Linked DNA regions of Saccharomyces cerevisiae S288C. The protein of the gene in region 1 interacts with the protein of each later gene in a pairwise test. Each region holds a gene or a part of one and is shown on either strand. Other genes may lie near its edges. The genes, in order: CNA1 and SLM2.

Region 1 (3,864 bases):
GGTAATGCATCTACCTCCCGTTACTTTTCCGAATCAGACAGTGTTTTGGTCGCACAAGGTGTCTCCGGTGCTGTCGTTGACAAAGGTTCTATCAAGAAATTTATTCCATATTTGTACAACGGTTTACAACATTCTTGTCAAGACATTGGTTACAAGTCCCTAACTTTATTAAAGGAAAATGTCCAAAGCGGTAAAGTTAGATTTGAATTTAGAACCGCTTCTGCTCAACTAGAAGGTGGTGTTCATAACTTACATTCTTACGAAAAGCGTTTACATAACTAATTGGTAACTAGGGTTCATTAATAATAAAATAAAACTAAAAAATATGTGTTTATATTTATTCTGCTCGCAGTTAAGTATGGAAATCAAGAAATAGACTGGAAATGATCTATATTTTCTTCGTATTTTGTTAGTTCATATTATCTCTTGCGGATCGTGACAGTAGCACAAGAATTCGATGTTGCATCTCATAGGAATAAAAAAGAATAAAATGAGATTTATCACAGTTGTGGCTTTTTCTCCGCTCCCTTTAATATTTTTTCGTAGTATTTAATCTTCTCTTGTTCAACCTCCGATAAAGATGGTGGTAATTTTTCATTAATAAGGTCTTCCTTTCTAGCCTTTTCAAAAGTGCTTAGCGTTTCATTCAAACCTTCAGTCCCACGAGCTAGAGCACCACGAGGTAAGACACCGGCATTCATAGTTTTCAAATATTCCACTTTTTCGCTCTCTTCTCTTAGCACCGAAAACATTCTTGAAACTTTAGCAATAGCTAATATCTTATTTCTCAAAGCCTTTCTTCGGGTTTCATCTTCTAATATCGCTGATGACGCCTTTTCATCAGATGGGGTGCCGGTCTCCTTAGTTGCGTTTGCTCTTGCCTTTACAGTCTCCTCCGCAGCTTTGGGTTCCGATTCTGGGTCAAGTTCCTGCTCACTACATATGTTTAATATAGACACTAACATGCTAGTAACTTTTTCGCCAACAAAAGGTAGTGACCAGGTGAAAACATCCATAAAATCAGGCAACCAGTAAGGGTGCGGAGACATGTGAAACTGCCTGATGTTCATGACGTTTTCTTCATATTTTAACACAGCAGCTTTATTATGATATGTGTCCAGGTAGTTTGGCGCACTGAACATGGTTATTAAGCTCGGGAAGCCTGTTACTTTATTGTTTTTATACATTCTGTACCCAGCATCCTGTGCTTCGTGTGCTCTAATAATAGATAACAAACCATTTGCCTTCAAAAACTTGCATGATGCTTTAAAAGTGAAGGCGAAAGAGCAACCCCTCAAACTGTTAGGTACGAATTCATCCTCGCTCTGATCAAATTCGCTACCATCTCTTGCATCATCATAATTTTCGACAGGATCGGCCCATAGTAGGTCACACATGAGACCACGAGATGGGATTTCTCGAAATCTATTAATTTTATTAACATCCTCTACTGATTTTAACTCTGGAGAGATACCACCATGCACACAAAAATATTGTCCGTTCATTAAAGCTGCTAATGGTAAGACATTGAATGATCTGCAGCAAGCATCGTAAACTTCCATATCGTATTTGTGCAACATCTCATTCTTAAAAGTAAAATAAGAGGTCAAGTGCTTACACTCATGGTTACCTCTTAGCATCCAAAATCTCCCTAAATTATTCAACTTCAAGGAGTACAAATAAATCAGACACTCAAAAGAGAATGCACCTCTATCAACATAATCCCCCAAGAATAAATAGTCGATTTCGGCGGGGTCACCGCCAACTTCAAACAGTTTCAATAAATCATAATACTGCCCGTGAATATCACCACATATAGTAATTGGCGCTTTGAGTTTTAGTAGATTGGGTTCTTTACTCAATGCTACAGTTGACATATTTAAGATTTTTATGGCCTGTTCCTTAGAAAGTCGACCCTCATGAAAGAAATGCTCTCTTAAAAAGGAATGATTAGGTAATCCCGTCTTGGAGTCGAATACTTCCTCATCACTTGGTATCTTTCCTGTTATGGCAGGTACAGAAGCGATAGGTCGGTCCTTAGTAGAAATTACTTTACCGTTTTCTAATTCGTATTTTGTTAAATCTTTTTTCCGGTCAACCTTTATGTAAGAGTCATTAGGTTTAATGATTTTGATGCGTGAAGAATTCAAGTCTTTCGACATTGGCGTTGAGAGTGTTTTATGGCAGCTGAGCTAATACGTCAAAAAAAAAAGAATCTAAAAAAACTTTTCTTTGAATAATACCTTTAATAAAGCAAATATTAAAGGCTTTGCTTCGTTCTTTTATAATAATGCCTCTTGATTCAAAAACATTAAAGGATTTATACATTTTTCCCTTTTGTTTCCCAGTAGTACGTTCTTTTTCAGAATTGGAAAATTCATGTTTCAAGAGGCGATGACATGAAAAATTTTGAAATAGATATAGATGAATATCAAAATGATTCAAACAGTTTGTATTTATTGCAACAGGAAGAAAGGTGGAGTCCAAAGAAATCTGCGAAAAATTTTTATAGTGATAATCCTTACGGAACAATGAGCACACAATATATTGATGAGACAGCATTTGTTCAGGCTGAGCAAGGTAAAACCAATCTAATGTTCTCTGACGAAAAGCAACAGGCACGTTTTGAGCTCGGTGTTTCCATGGTTATTTATAAGTGGGATGCGTTGGATGTTGCCGTAGAAAACAGTTGGGGTGGTCCAGACTCAGCTGAGAAGAGAGACTGGATTACAGGGATTGTAGTAGACCTTTTCAAAAATGAAAAAGTTGTTGACGCCGCTTTAATCGAAGAAACGTTACTTTATGCAATGATAGATGAATTTGAAACTAATGTTGAAGACGACTCGGCTTTACCGATTGCCGTGGAGGTCATCAACATATATAACGACTGTTTCAATTTAAATTATAATAAGGTAGAAAAATTGTATTTGGAATGGCAAGAAAAGCAGAGAACTAAAAAATCAAAAAGAGTTGTGCATATTGAGGGTGATGATGATGAAGACGATGAAGATGTAGAGGACTATGATGACGAAGATGAAGATGAAGAGATGGACGAGGTTGTACCTGACTTAGTATCGTCTAAACCTGAACCAATTGTTGACGAAGACGGTTTTGAATTGGTTCAACCAAAAGGAAGAAGAAAGCACTAGTATCTTCAAAATCTGTATATTATAATTGATAGTGCGCTGCTTTTTTGCACTTCCAGTAAGAAATAGCAACAAAATTAGATAAATCTCGGTGGAGTTATCCAAAATATGTAATATATATCAAGAAAGTTACGTATTAAACATTGGACTTCTAGAGGAGATCTTCAATATAGATTTAAAAGGTGGGCAATGCATCGCTACGTGAAGATTTTTACTTTTCTTCAACATGTGTATTTTTTATGTTTCATATTTTTATATTTTGTGTTTGCTAAGGTCTAATCGTTCAGCTAAGTTAAAGCTAAGTATAAGAAGCAAAAAATACTAAATTATACTAAATTATAAATTTTCGTACATAAATAATCATGAGGTAGATGTTTAAATATGTAAATAGTTTCTTTTTTCTTCTTTGTGATTGTCAAAATTTGTGTCTATCTATACAACCCTCTAGAGGTATATCTTAACTGTGTATTATCATCAAATTCGTTATTATTATAATTGTCATTATCGCTATTAATGAATTTAAATTTCTTGAAAAAAGAAGATGTCATTTCCAGAAATGAAAAAGATTCTTTTCTGAAGTTTGCGATCTTAAATAGTCGGATGTCGGTTCCAACCCAAATGTTATTTTCAATTATGTTGTTTACAACGCCGGGACTAATTTCTTCTTCAAACATATAACTATTCAAATTATCTGTAATGATTGACGTGCTGACATTTG
Region 2 (4,604 bases), on another chromosome or scaffold:
ATCAAGCAATTGTGTTGGCACAATTTCGTCCTGAGAAACGTCATAAGTTAATCATTGAGTCCTTTGCAACTTTCTTGAAAAATTTACCGGATTCTGTATCGCCAATTAAATTGATAATGGCGGGGTCCACTAGATCCAAGCAAGATGAAAATTATGTTAAAAGTTTACAAGACTGGTCAGAAAATGTATTAAAAATTCCTAAACATTTGATATCATTCGAAAAAAATCTGCCCTTCGATAAGATTGAAATATTACTAAACAAATCTACTTTCGGTGTTAATGCCATGTGGAATGAGCACTTTGGAATTGCAGTTGTAGAGTATATGGCTTCCGGTTTGATCCCCATAGTTCATGCCTCGGCGGGCCCATTGTTAGATATAGTTACTCCATGGGATGCCAACGGGAATATCGGAAAAGCTCCACCACAATGGGAGTTACAAAAGAAATATTTTGCAAAACTCGAAGATGATGGTGAAACTACTGGATTTTTCTTTAAAGAGCCGAGTGATCCTGATTATAACACAACCAAAGATCCTCTGAGATACCCTAATTTGTCCGACCTTTTCTTACAAATTACGAAACTGGACTATGACTGCCTAAGGGTGATGGGCGCAAGAAACCAGCAGTATTCATTGTATAAATTCTCTGATTTGAAGTTTGATAAAGATTGGGAAAACTTTGTACTGAATCCTATTTGTAAATTATTAGAAGAGGAGGAAAGGGGCTGATGTTTTTTGAAAATAGAAGCCTTGTTTATGAGAAAACTTATACATAATATTACATACAAACTAGAGCATTACTATATAATTAACTTACTTGTCACAGCTGATTGCTTTTTCTAGGGGAATCTACATTTTCAATGTAAAATTCAGGAACCCTATTCTGAATTTGTGAATCATTCGTTTCCGGTATCGATGACGTGGTGTTAGTGATTGTCAAATTGTCTAATTTTGGAATGGAATTCAAGGGAAAATTGCTACTACTCACATCATCGTATCTCGTATGTTGCTCATTAGTTACCTGGGGGGTCACGCTCTCCGTGGTGTTTTCATTACTCTTGGCTTTTTCTTTAGACAGTTTGGCAACTTTACTCACATATTTGCATTTGTCGTCATAGTTGGGCAAACTTGATAAGGCTTTGATATTTCCAAACCATTCTATCATATCGTCATAAGAGTCTACTTTGAATACCCAGTTGTGACCCCTATGTATTAGTCCGTTAGAATTCGTACGCAATATAAACTTGTTCTTGCCCTGCTCTGAGTTGGATTTCGTCTTTTTGGAATGCTCAGTGACAGTACATTCCACTAATGGTATTGACATTAACGGTGTGGAAAATTTATGCTTATCTGGTGTCTTAAATTCATGTAAAAAGCTTGGAGTGAGGACATAAAACCCACGTGAGTATGACTTTAAAAATTTTGATCTTTTCTCCAGAAACCCAGATTTAACTTCAAAAGTAAAAGGATCGTTTTGATTGCTATACGAGATCTCTTTAAACCTCCTCATGGGTAAATTTGGAGGCACAAAATTGGAAATATTCCTTAGAATGAAACTATCCCATTCAAGATTCGTGTTTTTGTTCAGTATCGTGGAATCTAATTTAGAGATAACTGAGTCAAATACAACTTGGGCTTCTTTGCCAAGAATTCTAGCGTAGCTGGTCAATCCGTTCTGTATTTCCATTACAATAACACTTTCTAACTGGGCCCCTGAATTCTGCAAGTTATCGAATGCCTCGTGCAAATAATTTTCTTCCACCAACTGTCTTTTGATTTGCTTTTCCAATTGCAATTTTATCAAAAATGGGTCACTCTTTGGTGTACCTAATTTACATTCTTTTAATGATTCATTAAAAAGCTTCATCAAGTGTTTAGTTTGCTGAAGCTCTTTGTTACAGGAATTTTTAAAATCAGATTGCAAAGCCTTAATTTCTTTAATCTTGACTAGTAAATCTCTTCTCAAATCCTCTAGCCTGGGTATAATTTCACTGGTCAACTCCTTGGAACTTTTCGATGCCAAAGAGGCCAGATTATCATGATACTTGGTCAGCATCGTGGGCAAATCTTGAACGGATCCACTTCCTAAGGGCAGAAAAAATTTCTGCATGGACTTGTCTTCATTAGAGACCGGTTGATATTGGTTTTCAATGCTGAAAAAGGGGAACTGCACAGCATGGGACAACCTCAGTTGCTGTCTAACTATTTCGTCCTGTATTGAGGCGGTCTCAGAGAGATATACCAAGATGGCACGAATAACATTTCTCCAGGCAGAAAACCTAGCAGACAAGACATCAGTGGGCTGCGCAGAAGTCGGTATCAGTATCGCCAGAGGGGACCTAGGATCGTTTTGGTTAGAATCATACTGCTTCTGGTGGCTATGTAAAGACATTTTTGGCAGCGTTAGCATGGAAGGGTCAGTGAAGGAACCAACATTATTGATATTGTTATTATTAATATTATTATTTTGTGATGATGGAATATTATTAGAGTTCAAAGAGTGCGTCGTATTGGTGCCAGCCGCAGCATCGACTATCGAATTTTGCCGATCGTGATCATATACGTTCAACTGAGCCGGGATAGTGGGATCGGAAGTCACAGCGTCGATAGGGTAAGGTATAGGATTGCGTTGCGCAAGCGACGAGGGTAGTGACAGGGGTATGTTCTGGCCTTTTTGTTGCTGCTGTTGATAGGCGGGATTAAAATGTTCTGACCTCATTCTGCCTTCCAGTTGTTGATATTGACTTCTGAGGTCAAGAGAGGCTCTTGCACTGTTCCGTTGGTAAGACATGGTGCAATGGACGGCTGGGTAAAGCGTATAACGCTCTCCTAAACCTTTGCTTGCGCGGTCATCTTCTCATGTAGTAGGTTGCATCGCCTTTTGATTAAAGAATGCGGCATGACCCGGAAAAAAGAGGCAGGTATTGGCTAATGACTACTACCATTATGAGTTTTTACCAGTATCAGCGCCATCATTAGGAGGATATATTAGCATTGGTGGACGTAAGAGCTCCTAAATATACAAGCATCGCCGTGATGTGTTATATATTGCAGCTTTATCTTGCTGGAGTGTCTACCGTATTTACTTCTACTTTTGGCATTTTTTTCGCCAATGCTGGCTCGAACAAGAAACTGCCTGCCATTTGAATTATTCATATATAAATACACTAATCATACGTGAGCATAGTGTGACAATTTCGGCGCAAGATATTAATGGAGCACGTATCAAAGAGGTCAATTGGGCAATTCTTTAAGAGGAAAACTTCAACTGTAGATGGAAGCAAATCACAGAAATGCGGAACCACTAACCAACTGCGGAAGCTGCTGCATAAAAGAAGGGTACAGAAGCAGGCAGTGCCGGTTGAATCCCAGTACAGAATTCCGGGTGATTTTAGGGATAATCAAAGCGTGAGAGTCAAAAACTCTATGTACAACAGCTCACCGTCAGTAACGCCATCTACGCATCATATCAATGAAAGGTATGTTCGCTATGACATCAACACAAGGCCTTTGGTTGTTGTGCTCGCGATCTCAATTGTATTTTTTGGCTGTCTCCTGGTCCTCAAGGACATCATCATCCAGTCATCAGAAAACATCCTGAGTGTTTCCAAATGGAAAATCATAGGGGCCTCCTTCATGGGTACGCCCTACACAGGTCTTCTCACGGGGCTCGTTGGCCCTCTCCTGTCACCATTTTCGGCTGTTTCGTCGTGGCTTTCATTCATCTTTTGACACAATGCGTCTTCAGTTTCCGGGGGCATTGCGTATGGAAAATCATGTCACTTTTTTTCTTCCACTTTTTCGTTTGACTTATATAAACGCACTTTAGTATAGTTTGCTTTATGTATTAGGTTATCTTGGTGTTCTAATTGATGTTCTTGCTTCCATTTGTCATTCGTCATTCCAGCTCTATTTACCTGCCCACGCTTCGATTTCGAGGTTTACTTACTGTAATCTCAAGAAACATACACATTTCCACCCCTCATAAAATGTTGCCTCTTTCAATTGAGCAGAGAAGACCTTCCCGCTCCCCCGAATACGATCAGTCTACTTTATCAAATTATAAGGACTTCGCAGTTCTTCACACCGATTTAAACCTGTCTGTTTCCTTCGAAAAGTCAGCCATTTCAGGGAGCGTTACATTCCAATTGAAAAAACTGCACGAAGGTAAAAATAAATCGGATGAATTACATCTGGATACATCCTATTTGGATGTCCAGGAGGTTCATATTGATGGTTCCAAGGCAGATTTTCAAATTGAGCAAAGAAAGGAGCCATTGGGCTCCAGGTTAGTCATCAATAACGCTTCTTGCAACGATAACTTTACCTTGAATATTCAATTTCGTACGACTGACAAGTGCACCGCTTTGCAATGGTTGAACAGCAAGCAAACCAAGGGCGGTAAACCGTACGTGTTTTCACAGTTGGAAGCTATTCATGCGAGGTCTTTGTTCCCCTGCTTTGATACTCCCTCTGTGAAGTCTACTTTCACTGCATCTATCGAGTCCCCACTACCAGTGGTTTTTTCAGGCATCAGGATTGAAGATACAAGCAAGGATACTAATATTTACAGATTTGAACAGAAAGTCCCTATCCCAGCCTACC

Evidence for each region.
Region 2: the proteins of CNA1 (region 1) and SLM2 interact in a two-hybrid assay, tested with the Saccharomyces cerevisiae proteins (3 studies listed by BioGRID).

Annotation. Positions count from the first base shown.
Region 1 is NC_001144.5:1,003,847-1,007,710, forward strand, and holds CNA1 (calcineurin catalytic subunit A), read right to left. Parts: upstream 2,163-3,864; coding exon 501-2,162; downstream 1-500. Other genes in the region: IMP dehydrogenase IMD3, read left to right, coding at 1-282; TSR2 (Tsr2p), read left to right, coding at 2,532-3,149; ECM30 (Ecm30p), read right to left, coding at 3,575-3,864. UniProt on the Saccharomyces cerevisiae protein: Calcium-dependent, calmodulin-stimulated protein phosphatase. This subunit may have a role in the calmodulin activation of calcineurin.
Region 2 is NC_001146.8:539,092-543,695, forward strand, and holds SLM2 (phosphatidylinositol 4,5-bisphosphate-binding protein), read right to left. Parts: upstream 2,791-4,604; coding exon 820-2,790; downstream 1-819. Other genes in the region: alpha-1,2-mannosyltransferase ALG11, read left to right, coding at 1-728; YNL046W (uncharacterized protein), read left to right, coding at 3,213-3,731; LAP2 (bifunctional aminopeptidase/epoxide hydrolase), read left to right, coding at 3,872-4,604. UniProt on the Saccharomyces cerevisiae protein: Together with SLM1, effector of the TORC2- and calcineurin-signaling pathways. Phosphorylated and activated by TORC2 under favorable growth conditions. Mediates actin polarization via inhibition of calcineurin-dependent transcription.